4 linked regions of the Tamandua tetradactyla genome follow. The protein of the gene in region 1 purifies or fractionates together with the protein of each later gene. This does not show direct contact. Links are inferred from orthologs where the notes say so. Each region holds a gene or a part of one and is shown in the gene's direction. Other genes may lie near its edges.

The links.
Region 2: the proteins of STX12 (region 1) and SNAP23 purify together in Homo sapiens (affinity purification with mass spectrometry; 3 studies listed by BioGRID and IntAct, counting the BioPlex papers as one, with this or other methods). This does not show direct contact. The link is inferred for Tamandua tetradactyla from reciprocal best matches to the Homo sapiens genes STX12 and SNAP23.
Region 3: the proteins of STX12 (region 1) and VTI1B purify together in Homo sapiens (affinity purification with mass spectrometry; 3 studies listed by BioGRID and IntAct, counting the BioPlex papers as one, with this or other methods). This does not show direct contact. The link is inferred for Tamandua tetradactyla from reciprocal best matches to the Homo sapiens genes STX12 and VTI1B.
Region 4: the proteins of STX12 (region 1) and STX10 purify together in Homo sapiens (affinity purification with mass spectrometry; 3 studies listed by BioGRID and IntAct, counting the BioPlex papers as one, with this or other methods). This does not show direct contact. The link is inferred for Tamandua tetradactyla from reciprocal best matches to the Homo sapiens genes STX12 and STX10.

The regions. Positions count from the first base shown.
Region 1 is NC_135328.1:198,555,086-198,562,715, reverse strand, and holds the start of STX12 (syntaxin-12), read left to right. Parts: upstream 1-4,616; 5' UTR 4,617-4,769; coding exon 4,770-4,887; intron 4,888-7,630. UniProt on the Homo sapiens protein: SNARE promoting fusion of transport vesicles with target membranes. Together with SNARE STX6, promotes movement of vesicles from endosomes to the cell membrane, and may therefore function in the endocytic recycling pathway.
Region 2 is NC_135340.1:56,366,146-56,373,572, forward strand, and holds the start of SNAP23 (synaptosomal-associated protein 23), read left to right. Parts: upstream 1-4,423; 5' UTR 4,424-4,522; intron 4,523-7,427. UniProt on the Homo sapiens protein: Essential component of the high affinity receptor for the general membrane fusion machinery and an important regulator of transport vesicle docking and fusion.
Region 3 is NC_135338.1:25,310,014-25,317,244, reverse strand, and holds the start of VTI1B (vesicle transport through interaction with t-SNAREs homolog 1B), read left to right. Parts: upstream 1-4,218; 5' UTR 4,219-4,643; coding exon 4,644-4,758; intron 4,759-7,231. Other genes in the region: RDH11 (retinol dehydrogenase 11), read left to right, coding at 1,090-1,192. UniProt on the Homo sapiens protein: V-SNARE that mediates vesicle transport pathways through interactions with t-SNAREs on the target membrane. These interactions are proposed to mediate aspects of the specificity of vesicle trafficking and to promote fusion of the lipid bilayers.
Region 4 is NC_135337.1:89,556,881-89,564,329, forward strand, and holds the start of STX10 (syntaxin-10), read left to right. Parts: upstream 1-4,443; 5' UTR 4,444-4,530; coding exon 4,531-4,565; intron 4,566-4,774; coding exon 4,775-4,944; intron 4,945-5,076; coding exon of another isoform or gene 5,077-5,087; coding exon 5,088-5,182; intron 5,183-5,406; coding exon 5,407-5,469; intron 5,470-6,503; coding exon 6,504-6,611; intron 6,612-6,723; coding exon 6,724-6,830; intron 6,831-6,926; coding exon 6,927-7,021; intron 7,022-7,109; coding exon 7,110-7,186; 3' UTR 7,187-7,449. Other genes in the region: IER2 (immediate early response gene 2 protein), read right to left, coding at 808-1,488. UniProt on the Homo sapiens protein: SNARE involved in vesicular transport from the late endosomes to the trans-Golgi network.

The DNA.
Region 1 (7,630 bases):
AATTATTTGAATTATTAGTCAAAGATTTTCAATCAGCTGTCTTAAATATGTTTAATCAGCTAAAGAATCTATACACAAAGAACTAAAGGAAATTAGGAAAAAGTTGATTGAACAAAATAAACAGATTGAAATTATAAAAAGGAACCAAACAGAAATTTTGAAGCAGCAAAGTGCAGTAATTAGGGATAATAATCCCTATCAAATTTCCAGCAGCCATTCCTGTAGAAATAGAAAAACCAAATTTATATAGATCTGCAAGGGGCCCTATATTGTCAAAGCATTCCCGCAAATGATGCACAGGGTTGGAGGACTCACGCTTCCCAATTTCAAATTGTTCTACAAAGTTTCAGTTACAAAAATAGTGTGAAATTGTAAAAATATTTGAACTAAATGCTCATGCTTATAGAAGAAATAAAATTAAATAAAAATGAAAAAAAATAGTGTGGCATAAATACAGACAAATAGATCAAAGGAACAGAATTGAAATTCCAGAATAAGAGCCACACATCTATGGCCAATTGATTTTTTTTTTTTTTTTTGCATGGGCAGAAACCAGGAATTGAACCCGGGTCTCTGGCATGGCAGGTGAGAACGCTGCCTTCTGAGCCACTGTGGCCCACCCTACGGGCAATTGATTTTGACAAGAGTGCTAATTACATGCAATGGGGAAACATTAGTCTTTAACAAATGATGTTGAGAAAACTAGATATCCACATGCAGAAAATGAAGTTAGACCCCTCTCTCACACCATATAATTAAAAAAATCAACTCAAAATGGATCAGGAACCTAAATATAAAAGCTAAAGCTGTAAAATTCTTAGAAGGTAACATAGCAAATTTTCATGACCTGGGATTCACTGATAGATTTTAGATATGACACCAAAAGCATGAGCAACAAAAGAAATAATAGATAAATTTAATGTTATCAAATTTAAAACTTTTCTGTACACAGGAAGTTATCAAGAAAATAGAAAGACAACTCACAGAATGGGAGCAAATAGTTTCAATCCACATATTGGATAAGGGCTTAATATCCAGAATATATAAAGAACTTTTATAATGCTACAACAAAAAGACAAACAACTCACTTACAAAAATGGGCAAAGGACTTGAATAGACATTTCTCCAAAGATATACAAATGTCCAATAAATACATGAAAGGATGCTTAACATCAACAGACATTAGGGAAATGTAAATCAAAACCATGAGATACCACGTTACACTTATAGGAATGGCTATTATTTAAAGAAATGGAAAATAAGTGTTGGAGAGAATGCAGAGAAATCGAAACTCTAGTGCATTGTTGGTGAGAATGTAAAGTGGTGCACCCACTGTGGAAAGCAGAATAAAGTTTCCTCAAACAGTTAAATATAAAATTATATTTTATTGGCCACTGTAAGTGGCAATTCCACTTCTAGTTATATACTCAAAGAGAGTGAAGGCAGGAGTCTCAAGGAGATACTTGTACATCAGTGTTTATAGCAGCATTATTCACAATAGCCAAAAGTTGGAAAAAACCCCCGAGTCCTTCAACAAATGAAAGGATAAACAAAATGTATTACACATATGCAATGGAATATTATTTGGCCGTAAGAATGAAGTTTTGAGACATGCTGCAACAGAGGATAATCTTAAAAACATTTTGCTCCGTGCCTGCTCATGTAAAAAAAATATATATGTTTTTGCTCCATAAAATAAGCATTGTCCATAAGGACAAAAATTATACGATATTATTTGTGGGCGATGACTAGGTATAGCAAATTTGCAGCCATAGAAATCACATTAGAGGTTAACAGCAGATGAAGGGTGGGAGGAAGACAAAGTGTTTGGTTGTAGAAATAAATAATAAAATTTAAAAATATGCTAGAGTGTTATGCACTTTCTATTGGTAATCTTGATTTTTAAAAAAAATGCTGCCTAATTTTAAAAGAATATTTCTATGAACATTCCTGTACCTGTTTTTTGAGTGCATATGTATACACATCTGTTGGGTATATATAGTTAGGAGTAGAATTATTCAGTTGTAGGATATGTATGAATCCTGGCTTTGCTGTATGACCTTGGGCAAGGACCCACAACCTCTTGAGAACAGTCTCCTTACTGTACCAAGTAGCTAATCTCACCTTGATGGGAAAACTGCTTTTGTTAATGAACAAAGGAGCAAAGTACTGAGAAACTTATCCTTTAAAATAATAGATTTTCAGAAAATATGCTGATTGAAATATATTAGTAGAAGTGGAACATTTCACTCTACTCTGGAGGATCTGAGTTACTTTGACACTGAATAGCAATTTCCATTTTCCAACCCAGGTGCAGAGCTTCAGATAAGGGGTTTCCATATACAACATTCGTCATTTATCGTCACATTGTGGTTTCCAGGGAGACAGGATCCTGAATCTCCTGGTTAGTCGGACCTGATGTTAATCTCTTTGCATATAACCTGGTGTGCTTTGAGGCTGTCAAAACATCACTTCTTTTAAATTTTACCTTCACTCCATCTTTTCCCTAAGACCTAGAATAACTCTATCAAGATGCCTGAAGATTCCTCTTGGGTAAAGTCTTCCTTGTAACAGCAAGTTAGTATGCCTAACTTTGTTAGAGCACAGGTAGTCTTTTTTTAAGGTGGGCTTTATCTTGGGGATTACCAGTAATGTGCGCAGAACGTGTGTACACTGCTTAACACCTGATTAGGCATTTATGAAATGGTAAGGTTAGTTTTTATTATTCATTTATGAGTTCAATAAATGTTTATTTGGCATCTAGTATTTGCAAAGCAAAAGTTCACTGCTATAGAGCTGCACAGATGGAAAACCACTTTTATTTTAGACGGAGGAAGAAAATAACAGCAACAACTATATCTTCAATTCCTAGGAGATAAGTAGCTGTACTGAATTTCACTATAAGTAGTGTCAAAACATCCTCAAGACAGTTTTTTGGGTAAAAAGTACAATATGCATGATTTATTACAAGTTTTGACATAAAACTATGGATTCTAAGAACAGTAGTTTTAAAAACCAGTATGAGAACCCCCAGTATCACTGTCTCCTATACAGAAAGAGATGCTGGAAAAAAAAAAAAAAGGAGATAGACTTGTTTACAAAAGCTCTAAGGCTGAATGCAGGCTTATTCACCCATTTGGGGACCCCTCCCAAGATGTAAACAGGCAAACAGCTTCCTCTCTTTGCCGTTTTCCAGAGACTGTAAGGCATGCTTGGGGGTGGAGGGTGGGGGAGTGAAGAACACAGGAAAAAATGCCTATTTCCCTTCACTTCTCTCTATCTTGATCTCCTCCCAAACCCAAATCCTACTGCTGTCTTTCCCTTCATCGTTTGCTCACACAATGCAGCCTTCTGTAGGAATATTGAGGCTGCATACTCCAAATTACTTAAGGAAATGACTTTAAATTTTGGGAGTCTATTTCCCCAAGAAATCCCGGTTTGGAATACATGAAGAGGCTACTTGGGAGGGATTAGATGGAGAATGAATTTGGGAATACGGGGTTGAATTTTAGGGAAATAGAGAGATGATGACGGAGTCAACATAGTGTATGAGTTTTGTAGTCAAATCTCATTAAAGCGAATTAACCTCTATGGCCTTATTTTTTCCTCGTCTGTAAAACGGAAAAAAATAAAGCTTACTTTGCAGAGTTACTTCAGCTTTAAAAAATTGACCGTCTATTATTTATTCAAAATAATTTTTTTCTTTGAATGAGGATTTACAAATTTATATATTCTTTCCTATGGAAAAAAAACACACAAAAAATGAACAAGTAAGCAGGTAAGGAAGAACTTTTAGATGAAAGCCTGACAAGATCTAGGAAAATGGAGGACAGTACTGTCTGCCTACTTACAAAAAGCAAATGAATGCTCAGTGCTTTTCAGAGATTTCAAGCAGGAGATATTACACTTAACTGATATCCCCTAATCTACAGCACTCAAATGGCAAACCAAATCCTTCAGTAGCCAAGAATACCAAGATGACTGGAATATTCAAATGCAACGTATCCAGTTCTTCAAAATGGTCCATGGTGCAATGCTTATATCAGACCTCCAGAGAAACAGTGTCTTTTGTTGCAAGTTTCCCAGCAAGTTCTATATGGATAGAACATCGATCCTTACTGTGAAAGAGCTTGTAAACAAGTGAATTTAGGATTCACACAACACTAGGTGCTCAAAAATATTAAGACAAAACAAAATAAATAAATAAAATTAAAAAAAATATTTAAAATTAGAAAAGGGGTGGAGGGAGAAATGAAACTGGTTGTAGGCTCCGCAAATACTACTAGAGCCCCTAAAGGATGGAAATAGAGAAAGGAATTTCAGGAGTTTGGTTTAGGATATGAGTTTAAGGTTAAGGATATGAGTTTCGAGGTTGTCAAATTCTCCTAGACTCGGGCCTGACTTCTCAGAATAGATCAGAATGGGAAGTAATGGCTGAGATCATCTGGTATAATTTTATGCAAATAGTAAATTCTTGCCTCCTGTCACTGTGCCCCGCCACTGACGTACCCAATTTGAGTCCCAATTATGTGACATCATCGCCCCGCCCCGCATCCCCAAACCTCTGTGTGTCGGGTCTCTAAGCTACAGCCCCAGGCACTCTTCCAGCGACGCATGCGCACTGCGTGAGGGCGGGGGCTAATGCGCGCGCAGCCTCAGCTCTTTCCCTGCCCTTCTCTTCCCGGTTTCCCGGTCGGCCTGCGGGTCCAGTCTGACGGCTGCTTCCGGTCGGAGCTCAGTGCCCGGCCCGCGGGTGTCAACTCCTCGTCATGTCCTACGGCCCTTTAGACATGTACCGGAACCCGGGGCCCTCGGGGCCCCAGCTCCGGGACTTCAACAGCATCATCCAGACGTGCAGCGGCAACATCCAGCGGATCAGCCAAGCCAGTGAGCCGGAGGGACCGGGCTGGGGGGCGGGCGCCGTCCCGGGGACAGGCCTGGATGAGGCCGCCGGGACGCGGAGCCTGGTTCGGGCTTCAGCGAAGGCCACGCCTGAGGCCGTCAGGCTCTCCACTCTTGGGGCGTTGAGCTGCCATCCCCTAGTATGTCAGGTCCTGGCTCCTGGAGGGTTCCGAACCCCAGCTGAAGCTCGAGGTTCTTTTCAGGAGTTCAGCTATTACGGTTTTGGGGCCGAAACTGCAGACTTGACAGCCGGAGGCTGAGGGGATGCCACCTCGAGAGCAGTGTGGTGTTGGCTTGGCATTAGTAGTCAGCCGAGTTTTTCCTGTCACCCGTCTTCCACCCACCCTCATCCCTTCCCTCTTTGGCCAGTTTGGATAGGGGGTTGTTTACTGATTTAGGCTTTACATTGACATTCTTCTCGGCCTCTGATTCCTCCTAAATTAGCAGTTTTCAGTGAAAGGAAGTACGGAGTGCGTGTATTTGGATGACTTTATAAACAGTTCTTTCTGTAATGAATATGGGAACCAGATACAATGACTGTGTTTTAGGTATGGGATGACTTCTGTTTTAATAAAGAGAATTCATTGAAAACATCTCAGTTTACATTATTTTGTCTTTTGTGTAGCAAAGGATTTATGTATGTTTTTGGATTACAAGTGGGATGAGACTTTAGTTTCCTTCCATATTGAGCTACTCTTTCCAACAATTCTGATGCACGGAGAGGCTCAGGGATCTGACCACAATCACACACTAAGACCTGGTAGAGTTGGTGGCAGAATTCAGAATGTCCCCAAATCCCCTCCCCACCATCAGTGGCTAGTGAGACTAGCATAAGTCTGAATTCAGAGCCTTGTAAACAGGTGGTGAGCAGCAGCAACTTTACTTGGAAAGAATGGTGATTATCATCATTGTTGTTTAGTATTGTGTATTTGTGAGTTTTGCTATGTGCTGTTAATAGAACTACTGGGTCCTGAATTCAATTATGTCCTGTATTTTAAAGGATAAACTGTCACTTTGCTTTTAAATTTAAATGTGTAATGAAAATTTGAGAGGCAGAAAGTTTCTGATGGGAAGGAATTGAGATTGAGTGATGTGGAAGTAGAGAAACGTGTATGGTCCGTTAAATCCAGAAATAAAAATAAATTAACATGACCAGTGGATAGAAAGGATACTACTTTGTGCTTCAGTTTCCTTTTGTGAGGGAGATGAAATACTGGTTAGATCAGAAAATTCTGGTTGAAGGCTGAAAGCTTCTTGTTGAGGTTAAATCTAATTTTTGTGTTTGTTTGTTTGTGAAGTATTCATTCAAGATGTTATTTGTTTACCTGGATATGGAGTAAGTATAGGAACTGGCACAGATTCTTTTGTCAGCAGGCCTTTGAAATACATAAATAACCTGAATATAAATAAAGTCAAAAGGGATCAGTGCTATAGAAGACACACATATGACATTATCTGGGTATTCAGGGAAGAGAGGGGACATTTCCATTTGGGGAGGTATCAGAGAAAGATTATAGTATTCTAGCTAAATCTAGAAAGATGATGATAGAAAGAAATTGGACTTTTGAAGGTAAAGAGGAGAAGAGCATTCCAGGAGGAGAGAATAAAATGAGCAGTCTCGGTAGTAGAAAAGCATGGGGTGTATATGGGAAAGTAGAGTAATTCGGTTTGGCTAGAGTGATGGATTCAGGAAAACAGTAGAAAATAGGGTTGGGAAGGTAAGTTGGCACCACACATGAAGGGCTTTAAGTGTTGGGCCAAGGGGCTTAGAATTAATTATTTAGGAATGTGTAAATTAAATTGGAAGGAAGAGAGACTGGACTCAGCTATCAGGGACTGTGAGAACGAAAAGGAAGGAAAGGATAGGAGAGGTTTGCTTGGAGATAGAACTAATAAGACTTAGCTGTTGATTTGATATTGGGCCCAAGGGGATCATTGAAGTCAACTACTAATAGCATTAATAGCTAACATTTATTGAGTACATACTGTGTGCCAGGCAGTATGAAAAGTGCTTTCCATGCATTGTCTTAATTAAATTTATGACAATCCTGTGCAGTAGGTACCGATATTGTTTTCATTTTATGGAAATGGGCTGAGAGTAGTTAAATACTGCTCAGCTAATATATGGCAAGCCAAATTGGAATAGGTCTGTCTCTTGTGAACATCAGCCTTTTTATAATTTTTAAAATCAATTATTACAGTTCTGTAGTGGTTAACACGTCAACTATACAGGTGACTTGTTTTTTCACCCCATAGAGGAAACTATGGGGAATACCTGAACCTGTGACGCTCTCTTCCTTCTCTTCTTGAGGTGTGGTCTGTCTCCCCTGCTAGATTGTTAGCTCCTTTGAGGTAGGGGACATGACTTCTCATCTTTGTATTTCTAGAATTTATCTTAGTCCCAAGCATATAGTAGATTGGAGCATTCATGTAGCAAGCGTTCTTTGAGCATCTACTATATGCCAAGCATTGTTCTAGGTGCCTGGGCAAGAGGATGAAAAGGACAGTCAAAACCCCTGCTCTGATAGAGTGTGTGTATGGACATACATATATATAGGCAAAATGATATCAATAATAAATTGTATTAGTTAGGGTTCTCTAGAGAAACAGAATCAACAGGGAATGCCTGCAAATAAAAAATTTATAAAAGTGTCTCACTTGACTGCAGGAACGCAGAGTCCGAAATCCGCAGGGCAGGCTGTGAAGCCTAGGACTCCAATGGAGGCTT
Region 2 (7,427 bases), on another chromosome or scaffold:
AATATATCTTGGAGACCAGACCACTTGGTATTTGCATATCTAGAGATGGCTTACTCTTTCTAATATGCATAATTTATTTAATCAGTCCCCTACTAATAAAAACATCTAGGAACTCTTACTTCTTGATACCATTTTTCATTTAAAAGAAAACAAGTGACTGTACGGTTTCAAATCAGAGATTAGCCTACTAGATGTGTAACTGCAGTATTTATATGTAACTTGTCTGCCTAATTACTCTTTTCATTGGATACACATATTAATCCTAAAGGGTCTACTATAATACTCATATGACAAAACACACACTATGCATATTACTCACTAAGCCATTCCAAGCTTGCTAGCATTTACCACTCTCCTCTTCTCATACAGTAACCTTCAGATTACCAGTTCTCTAACATAGATATGCAATTAACAACCATTTCACATTTTTCCTTTTTAAATACCTTCCTTTTAATCAAAGTTAATACTTCTGAACTAGCCTGCTCAGGCAGGCTTCACACCCTCTACCTCTTTCTAGGCCTCTTCAAAAACCATCTAGCCCTACCAAATTCAAATATCAAAACAGTTAGACACATCCTTACTTCATCTAATGTAGAATGTTTGTTTCTACTTTGCTTTAAAAACCCTGAGATGCTTCAAAACGCACACATAATCAATGTGTTAAAAATCTTTGGTTCTTTACACAAGGCCATGTGTTTCCAAAAACATTTTCCAAAATTCATATTTCAGTAAAATGAAACTAGCAAATCTAGGAAAACTCTGACAAAAGGATGCTTACAATTTACTCCTCTTTTAAATTGTTATTTATCTGTCTATTTGGAAGAGAGTCAGAGTATGGGAGAATAAATAAAATTCTGGGAATAATGGTAAAACCTATTGCATATCCTTGAGTTTTCTCCTTATACTTTTGTTCCAAACCCTCCATATTAACTACATTTTACATGTAATTTTCTCTAAAATTAGATTGTAACAATCAATGGGTATTAGTTGGAGGACTATAAAAGAGGACACACACTATTTTAGCAAAATTGCATATTGATTCAAAAGTGTTTTGGAAAAACTTTATGTGAATTATGTCTTAAAATAATCCAAGAATTCATAGCAAGTATAGAATTGAAAGTAAAAGTAATGCCACAAATTTATTTGCATTATTAAAGTAGTTTAGTCAAGGGCACTAATTTAAAAGTCAAATTGTCTTCTGTTCATGATTAAGTTTCTCTAAAATTACTACAACTGAATATTTATTAAATGGTAAATCATGGGGAAAAAAAACATCTAGCAAGTATCTTTAACTGAAGCCTCCTATCATTTTTAAATCCCATTAGCTAACTCTTAACTGTAATGCAGCTTGCTTCTCAGCAGAACCGCTTAGAGTATCTAACTTTGTGTAACAGCAAAATGATAGCTTTGTTATCATACAGCCTGAAAGTTACCACTTAACTCTAGGTAGGTGAGCCTGAGAAACTTATCAGACTCTCAGAGACTTCATCTAAAATGTGCTGCAAAAAGCCACCTTCCATTACAAGATCTCATTAATTTTTTGCGACATACTTGAGTGTATCTGGCACATATGGAGTAGGTGTTAAATAAATCTGAATACTGCCTTCCACTGTTTCATTCACAACCAAAGTGAAAGGTCTAAAACAAATTTTAAGATTTCCCATGGGGCTTAGAACAGTACTAGGCTCTTAGTAAGTGCTCAAAGTTATCTGTGGTTTGAATAATTCATCATTATTATTATCATGGTGAATGATGTAATAAGTTTAAAAAAAAACTTTCCTTAACTGGTAATGCAGTCCCAAATTTATAAGGGCCATGGAAAACTGACTCCACAACAGGATATATTTTTATTCTAAAAATGACTAAAGTGAGTAGAAGGAGGAGGAAGGTAAAAAGCATTTCCTTAACTATAATTATGTTACTGAAATTCATACGAAATATTAAACTGACACATAGTAAGCATCCCTTAATTAGTAACTAATAGTAAGACACATTGGAGAGAAGACGAAAGGAGGAAAAAGGAGGTTGTCAGTCACAAGAGGTCGAAAGATGTCCCTGGCCTGTGACCCACAGGCCTTTAAGCACAAGGGTCTATGAGCTCCCTGCCCCACTGGAAACCGAAGGAGGTCAACGGCCTTCCCCAAAGGTCAAAGCTCTGGAGCCACCTTTCCAGCTAGGGCTGGGAGCAGAACCTAAACGCCCCCACGAGAATCCGTTCCCCTAAACCAGAAGCACCGCCAGCTATAATCCGAGCTGGTGCTGGGAGATGGGACTAGTTATCCCCGCGCCGCAACATGCACCAGCAGAGACATCGCCGCGTCCTGCAACCCCACAGCCCTGCTAAGGGGAACAGTAGGACCCTCGAGCTCTGATTCGCATCAACGCGGTTCGGTACCTTCATACTCACACTCACGGCCGACCTCTCTTACTCCATCGCACCGCCGAGACCCCGGGGAGGGAGCTCCCTCACGCCCCAGACCCCCAGCTTCTGTTTTGGGTCCGGCGGCCCACTCCCGACCGGCTCCCCCCCGGGCACCGCCGCCGCCAGCGCGCAGGCGCACAACACAGCCGTCGCGCTCCTTTTTTTTTTCTCTCTCTCTCTTTGCCGTCCGCCATTCTCAATAATCTAACTTTATTAGAACCCAGAAGTGAACAATGCACACAGGGGTAGAGGGTTTATTCTGAAAGAATGGAAGACCAAAGATGGTTGGGTTTGCAGGAGCTGCACTGGATCCGACTGTGACTAGCCTCCTTGGTCCCTTTTTCACTCTCTGTTGTATTTTCAGGCCTCCTTGCTCCTACTCTCTTCTTAAATACTCCACGGTTCCCTTTTGACAATGACAACTGTTTCAGCTAACTTTCTAATTCCTTGTAATATTTAATAAAGCTTAACGAAAGTGTTACCAAACACAGGCCATGGATCCTTGTGCCCCACACGCTCAAATGACCCATTCCTGAGACACCCGGGTTTCAAAGAGAGAAAAAGTGTATAACTAGACACAGCAGATCAGATGGCCTACGGCTCCAAAAGCTGTCTTCCCAAACTGCAATAATTTTGATAGTTTTATTGTAGCAAAAGATGGGCAGGTTTTAGGATAATGAGCACAGTGGTCCCAGCTGATGTGATTAGAAGTGATCAGATTATTGAGCATGTGCAGGCGGATTACATACTTAGCCACAGAATTTATGTAAGAAAATGGTGGCTTTATTATGATGATGTGCATGATTTTTAGTATAATGAGGTATAGGGGAACTTTATAGCTTAAAATCTAAGCTACTCTGCATGTCAGGTGGGCCCATTTTGGTTAGATCCAGTTTAGGTTATCAAGATAACTGGACTTGGGGCGGGCTAGTTTTGGGCTGACCCAGGACCCTTCATTAATAAATATTAGGGGCTGTCTTTAGTGATCATAAACTTTAAAGTTGAAAAACTGGATAAATGGTACAAGTGAAGTTTAGTCACAAGGTTTCTCTCTCTCTCTCTCTTTTTTTTTTTTTTTTCTTTTTGCATGGGCAGGCACCAGAATCAAACCCCGGTCTCTGGCATGGCAGGCAATAAGTCTGCCTGCTGTGCCACCATGGCCCGCCCTGTTACAAGGTTTTTACAATCACAGGTGCAGAAGAGAAAGGCTATATAATCATTATCAGAGATTCAGGCAGTTGGATTACAATTCAAAGATTTCAGGTATTTCCCTCTGACCATTCTAATACACCAGAAAGCAAAAGGGAACATCTATACAGCTATAATTCAGTAATTAAAATCATCTCTTAAATCTCAATTTCTCAGTTACAGAAGTTGCCTCAGAACTTTAGACAGACCTCAGCTCAAATCTTAACCTAGCTATAGTAATTTGCAACTTTGGACAAATTCCAAGTTTCTTTGGACCCTCCATTCCCTCAGAGTTAAAATTAGGTTGATGGTGTTGCTAGGATTAAAAGAGGTAACAGGGAGGACCAGGTGGCTCAGCAGGCAGAGTTCTTGCCTGCCATGCCCGAGACCTGGGTTCAATTCCTGGTGCTTGCCTGCGCAAAAAAAAAAAAAAGAGGTAACATAGGTCAAGTATCTATTCATGCATCAAGCAAACCAACAACTATATTATTATTCATAACAAGTAATTTTATTTATTAAAAATCTTAGCCCCTACCCATTCCCTCAGGACTCTATTTTAGTGATAAATATTAGTCAAATAAACCAAGTTACGTTAAGGCTGGTGATGGCGTAATGTGTCCCTCCTCTTACATTATTGAAATAACATCTCTTTTTAACAAGACCTTTAGTGCCTCAAATCAAAATAAGCAGCTACCTCCTTCATCTATATGTGAAGGCAAAGTTGCTTCTAGAAGTTTAGAAAACTTCCAATTCTGTATTTGTGACATCACAAGTCCTTAAAACACTTGAAAGTTGGGGTGTGCTGCTCATTCTACTCTCCTTTAAAGACAAGCAATGAAAAAACAGCTTAACCCAATAATCTCAGGGCTATAGTCCAAGGATAAACCTATAGAAGATTAAGGTCAGATATTGGTAAGCACCAAGGTAACCCTACATCAGGGTTTCTCAACCTTGGCACTATTGACATTTTTTTGACCAGATAAGTGTTTGTCATGAGGGAGTGTATGGTGTATTAGGATGTTTAGCAGCATCCCTGGCTACTCGATGCTAGTAGCAGCTCCCCACTTCTCCAAGTTATGACAATCAGATAGGTCTCTAGAAGTTGCCACATGTTTCCTGGGGGCAAATCACCTCCAGATGAGAACCATTTCCCTAGACAAAAGTAAAAATGTTCCTTACAGAAAGGGAAGCTAGTGTTCCGTCCCTACCTCAAGGTGATTAGGTTTTTGCTGCTTGGGTTACCATAATGTATAGATTATGACTGAAATGGAAATCAAATTCACTAAAATCTTAAGAGTTTTAAGATCTGGCATAACATTAAATTGTAGACCAGTCAAGTCTCCAGAGTTTCCTAATTTTAAAATTCAACATTTTTTGCCTGAAAATCTTTTTCATGCCCCACCCACCCCGGGGAAGTGGGTGGGGGTGAGGGTGGGTGGCAGATTTGAAGGAGAGAAGAAATCTATGTAAGGATGATTCTCAGGCTGTTTTTTTTTTCTGCCACTAATTCATTTCAGTGAAAGAATACACATTTATCTCTACCTTGCCATCATTCTGGATAACTTCCACCTCCGTGTGGACATGTAATCCAACAATAAAATCTCTTAACTCCTTAAACTCAACCTAATCTACTACTCTATGCTATTTCAGCTACCCACATCCATAGCAATACCCTGGACCTTCTTATCACCTGCAATTTCTTTACCTCTAAATTCCCTAATGTAACTATCACTTTCTTTGTCCAAACACCTTCTGTCTTGCAGTTTCTTTGGCCAACCACACTCTGTGACTTTCTTTGACCTCATCAAAAACTCCTATTCATTGATTCCACACTTTTATTTCCCAATCCATCAGCCTTTTCCTGACTTCTGACTTGAATCCCATGATCTGTCATCTTTTGGCAATAACTTGAGCTCCCTTGCATGTCTGTGTTTATTCTACCACGGTTTCTCAACTTTAGCACTATTGTTATTTTGGACAGATAAATCATTGTGGGGCCTATCCTGTTTATTATGGGTGGTTCAGCAGCATTCCTGATCACTAGATGCCACCCCCCCACCCCCCACCCCCATGAGAACAACCAAAAATGTCACCAGGCATTGCCAAATATCTCCTGCTGGCAAAATTGTCCCCTGTTGAGAACCATCACATTATACAAATGCCCATCACAACCTGAAATGAACTTGACCACACAATTTTCTTCACCTCTGCCCTTAAGAAGTAGTGACTGCTTGAGAAAGCCACACCCCAGTACAGACTGGTGAGTTCATTTTAAGTTGCTTTAACTAGGCCTTCACTGCTTACCAGGCCTACTACTTTTCTCTGATCAACTTTCTCAATTTCTGCAACAAATACTTCAAATCTCTTCAATTTCCTTAATACTGCCAGCACCATCTCCTTTACTTTCAGCAGATGACCTCATCTCCTACTTCACAGAGGAAATAGAGGTCATCAGATGAAAACTTCAACTTTCTGTTTATTAAATGTACAAATTTACAAACTGCCACACAGTTCCTCTTGTTATAATTGAGGGGGTATTATCTGTCTTCCAAGTCTATTCCTCCTGCCACTGCTTTAGATTGTCTCTCTTATCTGCTCAAGTTTTTTACCATTATTGACTATCTCTTCTCTTTCTTGTTTAAGCAATCTTTTTTTCTCAGTTGGATCTTCCCCATTACGCTCAAGTTTCTTCTGTCTTAATTCTAACAAAAATGCAAAATAGAAACAAAAACACTTTGATCCTCATCTTTTAACTATCATCCCTTCTCTCTCCTCCCCATCAAGGCCAAACCTTCCAAAAGCATTCTACAACCTGCCCTCATTTCAGCATCCCCCTCTCCAACCTACTGCTATTTTAACTAAATTCAAAAGATATTTCTCAGGCTTCATCTTTCTTGATTGCTTAAGGATAGACTTGTCTCTCTTCTTTAAACACTCTTTGCTTGATTTCAATGATTGTTCCTTATTCTTAAAGGTGTTTGAAAGGATTCCTGGAGGAAGTGGCTTAAAATAATCATCTACCCAGCTTAAAATCCACCTTTCAGTAGCTCTCCATGGACATAGTATAAAGCGCAGACTTCCTAGTCAAAAAATGCAAGTCACTCCAAGATCTGGCCATTGCCTATTTTTTTTCAATGCAATTTTATTGCTATATTCACATACCATATAATCATCCAAAGTATACAATCAATGGCATACAGTACCATCATATAGTTGTGCGTTCATCACCACAATCAATTTTAGAACATTTTCATTACTCCAAAAAAAATAAAAATAAAAATAAAGAAGAAAACACAGCGGCCCATACCTTTCACCCCCCCCATTATTTATTTTTTGTCTTTATTTTCTGCCTATATACTGAATAAAGGGGAGTGTCAGTCACAAATTTCACAATCACACGGTCACACCATTAAAGCAATACAGTTAAACAATTATCAAGAATCAATTTGCCTTTTTTTTTTCAAATTAAGACCCATTTATTTGAACAGCTAACATGAAAATAGTGACAGTATCAAGTGCTGATGAGTATGTGGAAAAACTAGATTTCGAATGTTTTTGTGATGGGAATATAGAATGGTGCAGTCATTCTGGAAAATATTCCTTTTTAAAAAAATTTTTCGTAACTGTGTAAGTTTATAGTTCAACAAAATATTGTTTAGTTTTGTGGGTTTTTCAAACTTTATGCAAGGTACCATAGTTTAAGTAGCCTTCTGGGACTTGATTTTTTATTTAGTATTATGTTGCTAAGATTCTTGATGCATGTAGCCGTAGCTCATTTTTTTCTGTCCTAAAATATTTCATTGCAACATTATACAAC
Region 3 (7,231 bases), on another chromosome or scaffold:
ATAAGACCTTGTAGTTGTCAGGGTTTGTGTCCTCCTTGGTGATATCTTGTAAGTCCTTGTGAGTGATAAAGGCATGCATGGTGCATGTGGCACATTGCGCTTGGCATCATTTTGATCAACACATCTTCTCTCACCTCCTGTTGTCACATAGAGCCATCACATGAGCCAGATACTGTCTGAAGTTCGCTGATCCACACAATGCAAAAGATTCAGGCCTTGTGTCTGTCACTTCCCACACACACGGGATCTAGTATAGGCAGACGATATAGATGGCAACACTGCTGGTGTTGTCTGCTCCAGTGGCTAACAGTATTCCAGAGGGATCCAGTTCACTGGCCTGGATACCTCTGCCCTGTTGGCTCATCACCACTCTAGGCTCTGGGTCTTTCAGACTGGAGATTGTGGTGATGTGGCTTGTCTGGACATGCATTACAATGCGCATTTTGCATTTTATGCCACACATGACTGAATGCATGTTTTTTTTTTTAACTTTTCCTTTCTTTAGTTGTTTTTGAAGCTGGTTTTACTTACACTAGCCACAAAATAGTTTTAAATGCAGATAGACCAGAAAAGAAATGCTTTTTCCTACTCTAAGCACCCATGACCAATGCAAACAGCAGGATTTCAGCTGTGTGACACTGTATACGGCCAAGGTCCTGTAATACGCACCTTATAGACTTATTTGAACAAGCTGACACAGGTGTCAGACAGGCACTGATATTACACTTACATCCATCCATACAAAGAGGATTATAAAGACTAAACGATGGCGGCCACGGTGGCTCAGCAAGCAGAGTTCTTGCCTGCCATGCCAGAGACCCGGATTCATTTCCCGGTGCCTGCCCATGCAAAAAAAAAAGAAAAAGACTAAATGGTACACACTGTATATCAGACAAAGTGGTATGATCAGAGGAGGTCTAGGAAGAGGTCTAAAAACACTATACTTTCTGTGGGATACAGATTGGATCCTGTGAAGCAACTAGAAGATATGTTATCTCTGGGTTGTTTTTCTGTCATATCCCCTATCCCAGACAGAGAACAGATTTAATCCTGAGCCCTGTGCATTAAGCCCCCCTCTTTCCCTTCTAGTGACTGTCATGTGGCCTGGGTCTCTGCTCAGGCTCGTAATGAGACGATAGCAAGACGGCTGTGGGATGTCAGCTGTGACCTGCTCAGCATTCCAGTGGATTGACAGGTGGTGGCCGCCAGACCCAAAAGAAGACTGCAGGAGTCTGCTTACCACTCCCTACCAAACTGACTCTCCTTCAGGGCAGCCAGAAAGGAGCAAAATCTTCCAGCCTTGCCTGCTTGGTATTCAGTAAAAGGCCAGTACACTGCCAGATTCATCTAAATGCCTTTCATTTGTCCAGATCTATTTTATTCCTGTTACTGCCAGAATTACTAGAATATAGAATATGAAAACCCTCATATGACTTGCACAGATCATATTTTCTCCCCAAAACCTAATGCATAGGAGGAGCCAAGCTATGGTAGGGTTGATTTATGGGAATTTGGACTAGTTACTTTCCTCTTTATTCACCATGTATTTCCTGCCACCCAACCTTCTTGACTTTAAGAGGACCACACTTGCAGCCTCATCTAAACTCCAGGAATCACAGTGACTTGGCTCAAGAGCAGAGTTCCTCTTTCACTTCTTTAAGAAAACCCTCACAGCACCAATATCTGGATTCTTTCAGAAAACTCTTAACTGACTCTGGACTATGGCTCTGCCTTATCTTTGACAAGCCAGAGTCACTTTGTTAAGACACTTTCAGGTCTAGACTATAGAAGAGCTTCCTTTTGTAAGTAGTCTGTGGGGTTTGGTTTTAACTGTGGGAGGGAGGCAGAAATAAACATCAAGTTCAGAGTGTCATTTTCCTGCTGTTTCTCAGATCAGCAAGCAGGGGGCATGAAGAGAGCAGTATGATGGCCACCTGACTTCAGTTACTGACCCAGTACTCAGCAAGGCTTCCTTTTTTTGTGCCCTTAGCTTCTCAGAAAACCAGAAGAAGGGAAAGGCTGTTTGTCATTGGGCTTATCTTTGTGTGTTTTCTTGTGTATCTCTTCAGTTGGGAATATTTTCAGAAAATTCAAAACAGCCACAAAGGAGGAGTATTAAACTGGACCTCCATGCAGGGTCCACATCAGAGATGGAGCAGACCAGTGTCAGTGTCATTCCGTCTTTGATGCACATGGGTAGAGCTGCTAACGGATGCAGACTCTGCATTTGTTGATAACTTCCCACCAAGAAGCTATCCATATGGATAGCAGAGAAGTCCAAAAAAGGGAAGAATCCTGGGAGATATAAAGCATGCAATGAAGGAACTAGTTGAGGATTTATAAAAAAGACACAAAACGTCTAAAGACAGGAAAAGCTATAGCAGAATTGAGGGTAAGCACTGAATCACCTAGACTGATGAGACCCTTATTGGTTAACAAGAACCAATCGACCAAGGTGGCGGGCAAAAAAAAAAAAAAAAAATCCCAATTCTTTACTCAGAATAATTATCCTAAGGACTGACTTTCAGTAATTACATTCAATTTAATAACCTTTCAAGGCATTTCTTTATATTATCTTGACAATGCTAAAATGTCTATTTGGTAAAAATCTGTATTTTATTTGGAGGACTTTTAATAAAAGTAATGCAAAAAAATAAAAATAAATAAAGGGCAGTGCAATGGTGGCTCTAATGCTGCCAGAGGAAATCAGAGAAATTGGTAATGTTTCATCACTTGTTTACAGTACATTATTCTATCAGAGTCTGAGATTTTCTTGAACTGGCAATTTATATGTTTAACTTTGGTAGGGAAAACAGTAATAGGACCACAGTCTCCACTTCTCATAATTGTAAATTAATAATCTTTTGTTGAGATTGTTTTGACCATTGAAGTGTATATTTAGAAATGGTCATATTATGGAAAATAGGAAATCTTTTGTTTTGATGATAATGCAGTAGAATAGCTGAATTAATACTTTATTACTTGATTTAAATTGAATGTCAGTGACAAATAAAAGTCTTTTTGATTATGTTTTTACTTACCAATTTAAAAAGTATAAGAATTCAACAAAGGTTTAATTATATGGTCAAAAGAAGAAAATACTTTTCATTATTACAGTTATTCATTAATTCCTCATTCTAAAGAATGATTTTCCCTGTCTAGCTGCAGTCCAGTTTCAGTTCAAATGACATTAATTTGGGTTTTGTGATAATTTGATTATTCATTCACCTAATTCCTACTTATCTTCTATGACACTGTTCAGATACCACCTTTTCCCATGTTTCTTGTTTATTCCAGGCTATCTCTCCTTTTTATATCTGCTCCTTTACTTCCATAACACAGTCCTATGGGACTTATATCAGTTCACTGCCACTAACCCCAGACTTTGTTATTTCTGTATTCTCAGTGTCTGTTAGTAACTCAACAAGGGCTTGTTGACTCAACTGTCAGCGAACTCAATCTGACAAAAATAAAGGTCTAAGAGATAGAAAGCACTAAAAAGAATATTCATATACTTTTTCATATGTGTAGGCAGTTTAAATATTGGGCTTCCAAGCAAACATTTCAGTTTAGACAAATGGTGAGGTCAGTGAAAATAGGAATTTTCTTCCATTAACCATTACACTAAGTATTTACACCCATGGCGTGCAGGAAATGACTAAATTGTTAACACATTGCATCCAGTGGTAGGTAGCCAGGTCTGCCTTCTCTACCTGATTATAAATTACCCCGGGACAGAGAGTAAAATTGTTTTATTCACCATCATATCCACATCCCGGCACAATGCCTATAACAAGCCCCTGTAGAGTGAATGAATGCAATGCACGAGGCAACCTCATGCATTACGCGAGCCGGACTGCTAGAGGCTAAGAGTGTGAACTTTGGGGTCACACTGCCTGGCTTCCACTTCTGAAAGCGTGTGACCCGTGGCCACCTGACCTACCCAGTATAAGCGCTTTACCCGCCCATGGGCAAGTAGGAACCCGGCCCGACTACCTTTCGAAAACGGAAAGTTAAGGTATGAGTCAAGACATGCACTGAGGGGGTCAAGGCATATCTTGATACCAAACCACTGCACGTCAGCGGCGACCCCGAGCAGCCGCGGTGCTGACGGAACCACCCACTCCGCGGAACGCGTGACTCCCGTCATCCGCGCCGAACTACAACTCCCGGCCTGCACTGCAGCGCGCGCCCTTCGCCAAGCCCGCGGGGCCTCGGAGGGAGGCGGCCGTGCTGCCGGGTCTGCGGCTTCCTTCCCATCTTTCCGCTTTGGCGCCCCAGCCAATCCCAGGCCGGGTATTTCCGGGCCCGGAGGACCGCAGCTCACCCCAGCGCGGCGCCGCTCCTCCATCAACCCTTCGGCTGCGCATCTGGCCTGATTTTCTGTCAGGCGTTCGCACTCGACGCTTCCGGGGCGACGCGAGAGAAAGAGAGAGAGAGAGAGAAAGGGAGAGAGAGAAAAGGGGCGGGAGAAATGGGCGTTCCAGCCTGAAAGGACCCCGCTGCCGGCCCCGGAAGCGCCTCGCCTAGGCGGTGGCGGGGGTCGTCGTGATGCTGGCCGGCCAAGGCGGCTGACTGCCGGGCTAGGAGCAGATTCCCGAGGCCAGAATCTCGGCGGCCACAGCCGAAGTGCGGCCTGCGCCATGGCCACCTCCGCGGTCTCCTCGGAGCATTTCGAGAAGTTGCATGAAATCTTCCGCGGCCTACTTGAAGATTTACGAGGAGTGCCGGAGCGGCTGCTGGGGACAGCGGGGACCGGTGAGGCGAGGGCTGGCCGGGATGTGGGAAACTGGGCTCCTCGCGCTCTGGGAAGAAGAGCCCCGACCCTCCTCCCAGACCCAGGCTTTTCTCTCCCTGTTCCTCATCTTCAGACGCGCCACAGGGCTGGCTAGGTTCCGTAGCCAGGATCTCCCCGCCGCCACTTCGACTGGGCTGAAGACTCAGGGAGGGACCTCGGGGTGTCGTCTCCCAGGGATCTTCCCTTTTGATCTTCTCGTGGCCCTCTCAAAATTTTCTTGTCTCATTTTTTCGTCATGGCAGAAAGAGCACAAGGGTTCTTAAATCTTTTGTAGACTTATGTAATTTATTTTGTGCATTTAAAAGCATCGCAAACTGGTGTTTAAATGTCAAGAGACATTGGGTTGAAAACTCAAAAAGGAATCATTACTTTGAGATTCAAAAATTTGTTAAGAGTTGGTAAACACTAGCGTGGTAGGGGAGATTTTAAAATCAGGATTGTGGTCTTGAGGTGAGGTCCTGTTGTGAAGTTTCTTGCTGCTTCCTGCCTCTTGAGTTCAAGCTTCAGGTTGTTGCAAGCTCTGCCTAGAGCTACGTTTTTTCATTTAAATCTGTAGGAAATCCTGTCATAGCTTCTTGGCTCTTGCTGAATAGATCTGTATGGCAACGAGAACAAGACTTTGAGTTTGCTCTCTGAATTACCAAGGACATGTGAATTGAGTGACTAGTGAGAATGAAATTCATATATATTTTTTTAAACAAATATTAGAAGACTGCTATGTGCCAGGCACTGTCCTAGATACAGTATCACAGTGAAAAAGACATGCAAATCTCCATTCCAGAGGGCGGATGACAAACAATATTTAAGTATTAAGAGGAGTTGTTAAGGGCTATACAGAAAAATAAAGCCCTGTAAAGAAGTAGAGTGAGGGAGGCACCAGTTTTAAATAGGGTGGCTGGAAAAGGTCTTTCTGAGGAGGGGGGTATTTGAACAGAGACTTGAATGAAGTGAGGGAGTAAATCATGCATGAATCTGGTAGTAGGGTTAGGAGGAGGGACTAGCACTGCAAAGGCCCGTAAGTAGAAATGGGTTTGGTATGTTCAAGGAAGAGCAGTAGGGCCAGTGCATTCCATGTGGAGTTGGCAGAAGGAAGAGTGGTGGTAGATGAAACTGGAGAGAGATGGCCCAGACCATATGGGGTCTTGTAGACCATGATAAAAGATTTGCATCGTCTTCTAAATGGGATTCATTTAAAGGATATTCAGCAGTAGAGACCAGGATCTGATTTATATGGTTGAAAAAAAGACTGCGGTTTCAGCCTGGCACTGAATTAAGTTCTGCGACATCCATTTCTTTAATGCTAAATAATACAAAAGGGTATTCCATTTTGAAAAATAGAAACCTGAGTTATATTCATCTTTGTCATCTACTTAACATTCTTCCCATTCTTGCAAAGAATCTAGTGAAAAGATGTGCAGTGGTGCTCAAGCCCAAAGTACGCTGACATAAATTGCATGTAATGGGCTTAATTAATTAATGGCTAATGTATACTATATATACATTCTCAGGGCTATAATAAAACTTAATCTCATTTTTCACTGTCTTGTCTGTACTTGTCTTTCAATAAATGCTGAATAAATCGAATTTAATTAAGCAAACACTCTGGGCCTCTTTTCCAAATCCTTCTTTCCTGATTCTGAGACCACTTCATAAACTTTTCAGAGATTTAATTCTCACTGTGAGTTGGTAGATACTGTGTAATGTCTATAACTCAGCCCTTGCATTTAGCTTATGATCTGTAGCTGAATTCAGTTATTTTTCAGTTAACATTTATTGAGAATTACATGCGGCAGTCACTTTCCTGGGCCCTGAGAACTCCTAAGAGTTCTTGCCTTAAAGGGAAGCAAATTTACAACAACGTGTATGATGCATCCTAAAATAAAGTTCTCTAAGACCATTAAAAACAACTACCTTAAGCATGGGAGAGGGAGGGCAAAGTTTTACACTTGGAGTTGAGTCTAAGGGAAGGAGTAGGTGTTTGCTAGACAGAGGGGAAATGGGAAAAGGCAACAAAAGAATTAAAAATTGGATACTTCCAACTATAAGTGGCTTCAGGTGTGTGGGGGAGAGTAGTAGGAGATGGGGAAAGTGAGGTAAAGCCACATTGTCAGGAGTCCTAAGTGTCACATTAAGATCCTGGGACATGATATGGAGAATCAGTAAAGGATTTTAAGCAGGTGATACGGAGTGAGGGAGAAAAATTCAAGGGTGTCTGTGTTATCTCACTTGGCCAATAGAATGAATGATGAACTTAAAAAAGAAATAGGAGAAACAGACTTGTTGGGGCTGTGGTAACTCAAGGCTGGGTGTAGAATAGAGATCATAATGTATCCCTTTCAACCTGACAAGATATTTCTTCTCCTGCCATTTAAAATAATACTTATGAAAAACATATTATATCCCCCTATTCTATATTATTGACAGCACTTTCCA
Region 4 (7,449 bases), on another chromosome or scaffold:
AGACCCGAAAAGGTCTGGGTTGAGGTGTCCGTGTGTCTGAAGGACGATCACGCTGGAGACTCGGGCCAGCCAGCAACCCCACCTCCAAGTCCCCATTAGAGAAATGTGTCCATCGACCCCGGGGTCGACCCCCGCCCCACCGAAGGGCGCAGGGGCCCGGGGCACTAACTCGCAGCGCTGGGCCGCGTGACTCAGGCGCCCTCCTCCCGCTCCCCACCCCCTCCCCGGCGGGCCCGCACCCCAGACCCTCCTCCCAGGCCCACACCCACGCCAAGAGCAGGAAACTCCCCACGTCTGCCCCATGACGCAACGGTGACCGCTTGCACAAGTATGTTCCTGGAGAGGGGGAAGGGGACTCGGGCGCCTGGGATGCTGAGGTTAGAAACGCAAACACCATCTAGTGAGAAAACCTTGAATGGGCAGCGCAGGCCCCTAATAAAAAAATAATAATAATAAAAGTCCGACCCTGAGGAGATGAAAGAACTGGCCTCCCGGTCTCCCAGTCCCAGGAGATCCGGGGAAAAGGTCCGAGTCCCAGTGGGTTAAGACAGCACCTGGGGGGCGCGCCAGATCTCGGCGGAAGGCGCCCGCGTCCCCGGCTCCGGCTCCTCGGCGTCGCCGCTGCGCACAGATGGCGACGGGTCCCCGGGGGTCGAGTCCTCGGGGCCTCTCAGCAGCCCGGGCGGCGGCTTCTTTCCACGGCTTCCGCGGGTCCACCCTCCCCGGCAGGGGGAAGGGTGCGTGTGCGCGCTCGGGCCGACCGCTCGGCCCGCGCTCTGGGCTCAGGTCCCCGCGGGTCGGGGGCCCTCAGAAGGCCACCACGGCCCGCACGAGCACGTTGAGCATGCTGTCCGGCGGGCGACAGGCCGGCTTCGCGTCGCACGCCGCGGGCGCCGTCGGGGGGGCGGCGGGGCCGCAGTTCAGGAGGCCCGAGAAGCGCCGCTGCAGGACGCGCGCCAGGTTGGGAAAGGCGCCCTCCGCTTGCGCAGGCGGGGGCTGCAGGCGATCCGGGACCTCCGACGGCGCCCCCTTCTCCTCCTCCTCCTCCTCTTCTTCCAGACGGGCTTTCTTGGTCGGGACCAGCCCCACGTCCCCGCCGTCGCTCAGGCTGCTGCTCCGCCGCTTGCGGTTGGCTTTGGCGGATCGCGGGTCACCGCGGACTGGAGGCTCCACGGCTCCGGGAGCCTCCTGCGTGTCCATGGGCTCTGGGGAGGGTGGCTCACCGACGGAGGGCGCTGCCTGGGCTTCCTCGGCTTCCGCTTCCCGCGGCGGGTGCAGGCGAGGGTCAGGGGAGCGGGCGGGCGGCAAGGGCACCTCGGGCTCGTGGGCCTCCACCTTGGCCGAGAGGTAGAGTTCCCGGGCGCTGCGCATGACCAGCGACAGTTGTAGGCTCCGGTGCAGCCGCAGGCCGCCGCGCTGCATGCGTGAGTGGTACATCTTCCACACCGACAGAGTCATGATGCGTTGCGCCTCCTTCTGCACTTCCATGGCGGCTCGACGGCGACGAGGACTCCCCGGCTCGGGCAGGAACCACAGCAGGTGCACCGTGGACAACGCGCTAGCTCACACCTCCCTCCACACGCCTACCAGCACCGTGACACCGCCGGGACGCTCTGCCCCGGCGCCCGCCACCCGGACTGTTTTATATGCCCAGTGACGTCACGACCTCGCCCCGCCCAATCAGAGGGCCGCATCCGGGCTTTCCACCGCTCGGTGGCCAAAGAGACTCCTTAAAGCTACAGGATGGGGTTTACCAAGCGGGGAAAAGGGACGGGGACCCAAACAAGGGGGAACGCCCCCCACTCCGCGCTAAACTCCTGGGACGGCCCCCTTTCTCAGGGCCCCGCCGACGCAGCCGCGCGCAGCCCCTGGGGGCGGGGGGGTGGTGGTGACCGCGGTTGGGGCCCAGGGACCACCCACGTGCTCGCGTCTGGAAGTCCCAGCGGGGCGCAGGTTGCAGTTTTCCCTTCGCACCGGGGAAGATCCGGTTCAAGCCCGTACGACCCCCGCGGGCACAGTTCCTGGCATCTATCGCTGAATTAATAGTAACGCTGCTAACGTTTATTAAACGCCTACTATGTCCCAGGCGCTGTTGAGCCTTTTCAGTATTATCTCATTGACTTTCTTCCTCCATTCAGAGGAGGGTTGTTACACCTGCTTTGTTCAAGTGGGGAAACCGAGGCAGACTGGCTGGCCTAATATTTACTTTTTTTGTTTTTGTTTGGCCTAATATTTGCTAAACGAATGAATGGGCCACTACAGTAAAAGGGGGGCACTGGGATAGTTTCTGGGCGCTGTGCATGGGTCCCCGTCTTTCCCTCTAGCGTCCACCAGTCCTCACGCCTCCCTTGTTTACGGGAAGAAAAGAGGCCGCGCTGGCTCGGCTGGGGAGGTGGGGAGTACGAATTTGCCTATCCCCTGCCAGTGACCGATAGCCGCAGGCTCCCGGGCGCGGCCCAGGCGGCCACTTCCGCGCTTCTCACTGGGCACATCCCTTCGGTTTCCGCGACACGAGCTCCACGCGTGGGTTTTCGCACTAGTAAGGCAGCGAGTCCCCCTGCAGGGCAGTCCCCGGGAACACGTGGCTGCCGCCCCCCCGACGTCGCGGCCAGGCCCCGCCTCCAACCTACCCCCTGGGAGGCGGGTTTCGGCGAGCTGAAGTGAGCCCCGCAGAGCCAGAGGAAAAAGAAAACATCACCTCCCTCGCCACGCGCCATCGCTCCAAGAAAACCTTATTCCGGTCCTTCAAAAAAAGGATGAAAAATTGTCCGAGTGCCTGCACTCATTCGTGGTGCGGGCCCTTTAAGGGGAGGGCCCCTGCCCCCACTCCAGTCCTGGCCCGGGAGCCTTCCCGCCACTAGAGCGACTGGACTTCCACGACTATATTTGGAAATAGCGACGTCAGCGCGCGCGCGCCGCTTCCGGCTGCCCATATAAGGTCAGGGGTCGAGATCTCCTTAGCTGGTGGTAGCGCGTTTCTTCCGGGCGGGCCGGGGGCGGGCGCTTGGCCTACCAGGCACACCCCCTCCGGGGCAGCTTGGTCCCGCTGGAGCCCGCGGCTTCCGGCCCGACGTCCAACGGGGTCGGTGGATTGCGGGCGTGGAGGGAGAGGAAGGTTTCGCTTCCTTCCCTGCGGGGGCCAGGAATGCTTGGCGCCCCTCCCGGAAGGACCCCTCCCGTCTGCGGACGACCTCAGGGTTCCCACTAACGCCATTTTCCAGAGGCCGTGCGACACACAGAGCTACCCGCCCATGACCCCTTCATCCCTTGCTCCCCCACAGCGATATGCCCTACAAGGACCCCTTCCAGGTTGTACCCCCAACACACACAAATAAAAGCGATCTTCCCAATGCTCCTTTAGGTGCCGCACCCTTCCCCCCAACATGGGGACTCAACAATTACTCCCCTCCCAAACTGATCCAGTCAGCAACTCTGCCACACACCGCCACCACGGACACCCCCACGATGGCCTACTCGCTGGACGCTATATGCGACCCCATAAGCGACTCTGGCCCACCTGGGGGCGGCCATCCGGGACTCCCCCAGACATCCTTCCCACCGGGATGGATGGGAACAAACTCCCCAGGCTCCACTCAGGCTCCAGACCCGCCGCCCACCCCCACCCCCAGATAAAGCGCTTTCCGGGAGGCCCCACACCGAGTGCCTCAGTCATCCAGGTGGGGCCGTTGAGATCCTCCCTAGACATTTCGGGCCCTCCCCATTCAGAGACGCCCCAGGCAGGGGACTCCCCTGGAAGCCAGCCTCAGAACCCACTGCCCCGCGACCCCCACTCTCGCCCCCCCAAAACTTCCGCTCATAGAGAGGAGAAGCAGTACAAAGTCCACCTCCGCACATCCTCCCGGAGGTGAGTCCCGCCCAGGAGCATCTTCGGGGCCCCGTCACTCCCGGTTCTCCTTAGAGCGACCTCGAGGCGCCCCCTTCCCTCCCGCAGCAGAAGGAGGCGGCGAAACGCCCCGCAGATTACGCGCCTCTACCCAACTCCTTCCCAGCCCTGTCATTCGGGTCCCTAGGCTGGGACGGCCTCGCGGGACGAATCTGGAGTGCAGCCCCTCGGGAGTTCGCTAAACGGAGCTAAGAAGAATCGAATGAGCCCCTTCTCCAGTTGTCTGGGTTCAGGGAGGTGATTAGTAATCAGACTGCCCAGAAGGGAGGCCGAGGTTATACAGCCACAACCAGAGGCGTTGGGTCTCGAACCAACAGTCGGCGCTTCGACCTTAAATCTGGCGGGCGCAGGAGAAGGGGGCGGAGCACGCGGACAGGAAGCCGCCTCCGCCCATAGCCAAGATGGCTACGGCGCGGCCTAGGTGAGGGCGGAAGTTTTGGCGCTTCGCGCCCCGCCCATCCTCCTGTAAGACCTCTCTTTCTCGGCTGGCGGCCCTACTCTCTATGGCGGTTCGGGTCACGTGACGGGGGGGGCGGGGAAGCCGGCGCGTGGTCCTCCGCCCCGAGGGAGCAAGCAAGCAGGGCCGAGCGGGGAGGTGGCTCGGCCGAGGGGAGGGGGGGAGTGACATGTCTCTCGAAGACCCGTTTTTTGTCGTGCGAGGGTGAGTGACGGCGACCGGGGCGGGCGGCGGGTGCTCAGTCCCCTTCCCCTGCTCCCAGCGCGGGCCGGGGCGATACCAGGCTGCCCGCGCGCCGCCGTCGGGTGCGGGGCCGGGGTCGTCTCGGGGGGATCCGAGGGTCTCCACCTGTTTGGGGGCGCCGCAGGGGATGCCGCCTGTCCCCAGCCACCCCCGCTGTGCCCTGCCCACAGCGAGGTGCAGAAGGCGGTGAATGCGTCCCGCGGGCTGTACCAGCGCTGGTGCGAGCTCCTGCTGGAGGGCGCGGCGGCGGGCCGCGAGGAGCTGGACTGGACCACCAATGAGTTGCGGAACGGCCTGCGCAGCATCGAGTGGGACCTGGAGGACCTGGAAGAGACCATCGATATCCTGCTGGGCGGCAGTGGCACGGGACGGTGGGGGGCGTTGGGGGGGAGCGCTGTACCCCCACATCCGGAAGATTTTGAGGAAGGGGGGCAGCCTCTACTCCTGTCCGGCCCTGACCTTGACCCTTGACTCCCCGCTCACGCATCGTGGAGGCCAACCCGGGCAAGTTCAAGCTCCCAGCCGGCGACCTGCAGGAGAGGAGGGCGTTTGTGGAGCGGATGCGAGAGGCTGTCCAGGTAAGGAGAGGACCCGCCCCCTCCAGAAGGCGGGGTGTGTGTGTGTGTGTGTGTGTGTGTGTGTGTGTGTGTGTGTGTGTGTGTGTGTGTGTGTGTGTGTGTGTGTGTGTGTGTGTGTGTGTGTGTGTGTGTGTGTGTGTGTGTGTGTGTGTGTGTGTGTGTGTGTCGGACCCCGGGGAAGTGAGTGTGGGAAGGTTGGGGTGTCTTGACTCCTTCTCCCCCAGGAAATGAAGGACCATATGGTCAGGCCCACAGCCGTTGCCTTGCTGGAGAGGAACAACAGAGAGGTGAGGCCTCCTGGCACAGCGTCCTGGCCTGAGCCCCCTCTGGGCCCCTGCGCTCTGAGTTCGAGTCTGTTCCGTGTGTGTGTTCACGCCTCTCTCCTGGGTATGTGGGCGCCTGGTCCCTCCCGGCCAATGTGCATCCCCTCCCTAGATGCCAGCCTGCTCTTTCTGCCTGTGTCCCCCATCCCAAGTCCTCCCTGTGGGTTGATTTGTACTTCAGGCACCTATCCTCAAGCCTTCTCCCTTTCTGCGTGGTGGGTACTAGTTTCCTTACATTGAGGGAGCTGGGGATGGGGAAGCCTGCATACCTACCTTGTGTGCATGTCTGTCCTTTCTGCTTACGCACCCTGTTGTGTGTAGGCTCCCTGCCTTCTCTGTTTGGATGCCTTTTCCCTCTGGGTCATGTGCCTTTTCTTTGCATGTGATAAAACCCCAGCCTTTAGGTGTCCTGTTGTGAGCTGGCGTGGGGTGTGGGTGGGTGGAGGCACGGAGTCCCGCACCAGGCTGATGTGCTATAGCAGTGCCCACATACCTTCCACGCGGGCCACCTTGTGGATTACAGTTCGAACTCAGAAAGGCACAGCCTGGTGCAGTAGCAGAGAGCATTCTGCTGTGCTCGGGCCATGGCGGACCCATGCTAGAAGCTTTGTGAGTCCTGGGAGGCAGAGCCCAAGAAGCAGGGGGACCCAGCCTGTGCCCAGTAGAGTAGGCAGTGGAAACCAGATTCAAACCCGGGCTCTCCTCTGGCTCTGTCTGCCTCCAGCATTCCGAAATGACAGTAATGAGTGATGTCAATGAGAACTGTAGCAGTCCCGGTTTCACAGATGGGGAAACAGAGGCACAGAGGGCTCCAGGTGACAGGGCTAAGGTCACCTCACTAGTAAGTGGTGGGGCTGGGATTGGACCCCCAGACCCCACCCCCACCCCCTGCCCACACCCCTAGGGACCGCATTCATGGGTACATTTGCCACCATCTGCATCTGGCCCCGCTGAACACGGGCATCCCCTCCCTGAGCTGGTGGTCTCTGAACCCACAGCTGTTGGCGGGCAAGGCGGCCACCCAGAAGTCATCCAGCGACCTGCTGGATGCCAGCGCGGTCTCGGCCACCTCGCGCTACATTGAGGAGCAGCAGGTCACACAGCAGGTGTGTGGGAGGGCGGGTGGGGGGGGTGCGGGCGCTGGGCAGGAGCTGTGGCTGAGCGTGGGGGGGTGGGGGCTGCAGACAGCTCAGCCCCTCCCACCCCTCCCCTGCCCAGCTGATCCTGGACCAGCAGGACCAACAGCTAGAAATGGTGTCTGGCAGCATTCGGGTCCTGAAGCACATGTCTGGGTGCGTCGGAGAGGAGCTGGACGAACAGGGCATGTGAGAGGCCAGGACCCCCTGGGGGAGGGCCAGGAGCCCGCAGCTGCCCTGGAGCCTCGGTCCCTCCCTGGGCCACTGACCCTGTGCTCTTGGCAGCATGCTGGACGCGTTTGCTCAGGAGATGGATCACACCCACTCCCGGATGGACGGGGTCCTCAGGAGAATGGCCAAAGCCTCCCACATGACTAGTGGTAAGTGCCCTGGGTAGTCATGGAGGCCCCCTTTTCCCCATGACCTCCGGCCCTCTGGACTGCCCCCCTCAACCCGCCCCCTTGCCAGATCGCCGACAGTGGTGTGCCATCGCGGTCCTGCTGGGCGTGCTTCTGCTGGTTCTCGTCCTGCTCTTCGCCCTCTGACCCCAGCTCTTCACACCCTGGGGGAGCGCCGAGCACTTTAAGAGCTGGGTAGGGTCTGCCCCCTTGGGGAGGGGCACCCCTGGGGAGCAGCTCCAGAGCTCTCAGGGCCAGAGTGGGGACTCCCCCCTGGCCATCCATCCCAAGTGCACTTAGGGGCGCTTGAATGACAGATTTACTCGCTCATCCGCAGGGGGAGACCCCCGCCATGCCCCTCTCCAGCTCTACTTCCTGTGTCCCCCAGCTATTTGCCCGCGTGCCTTCTA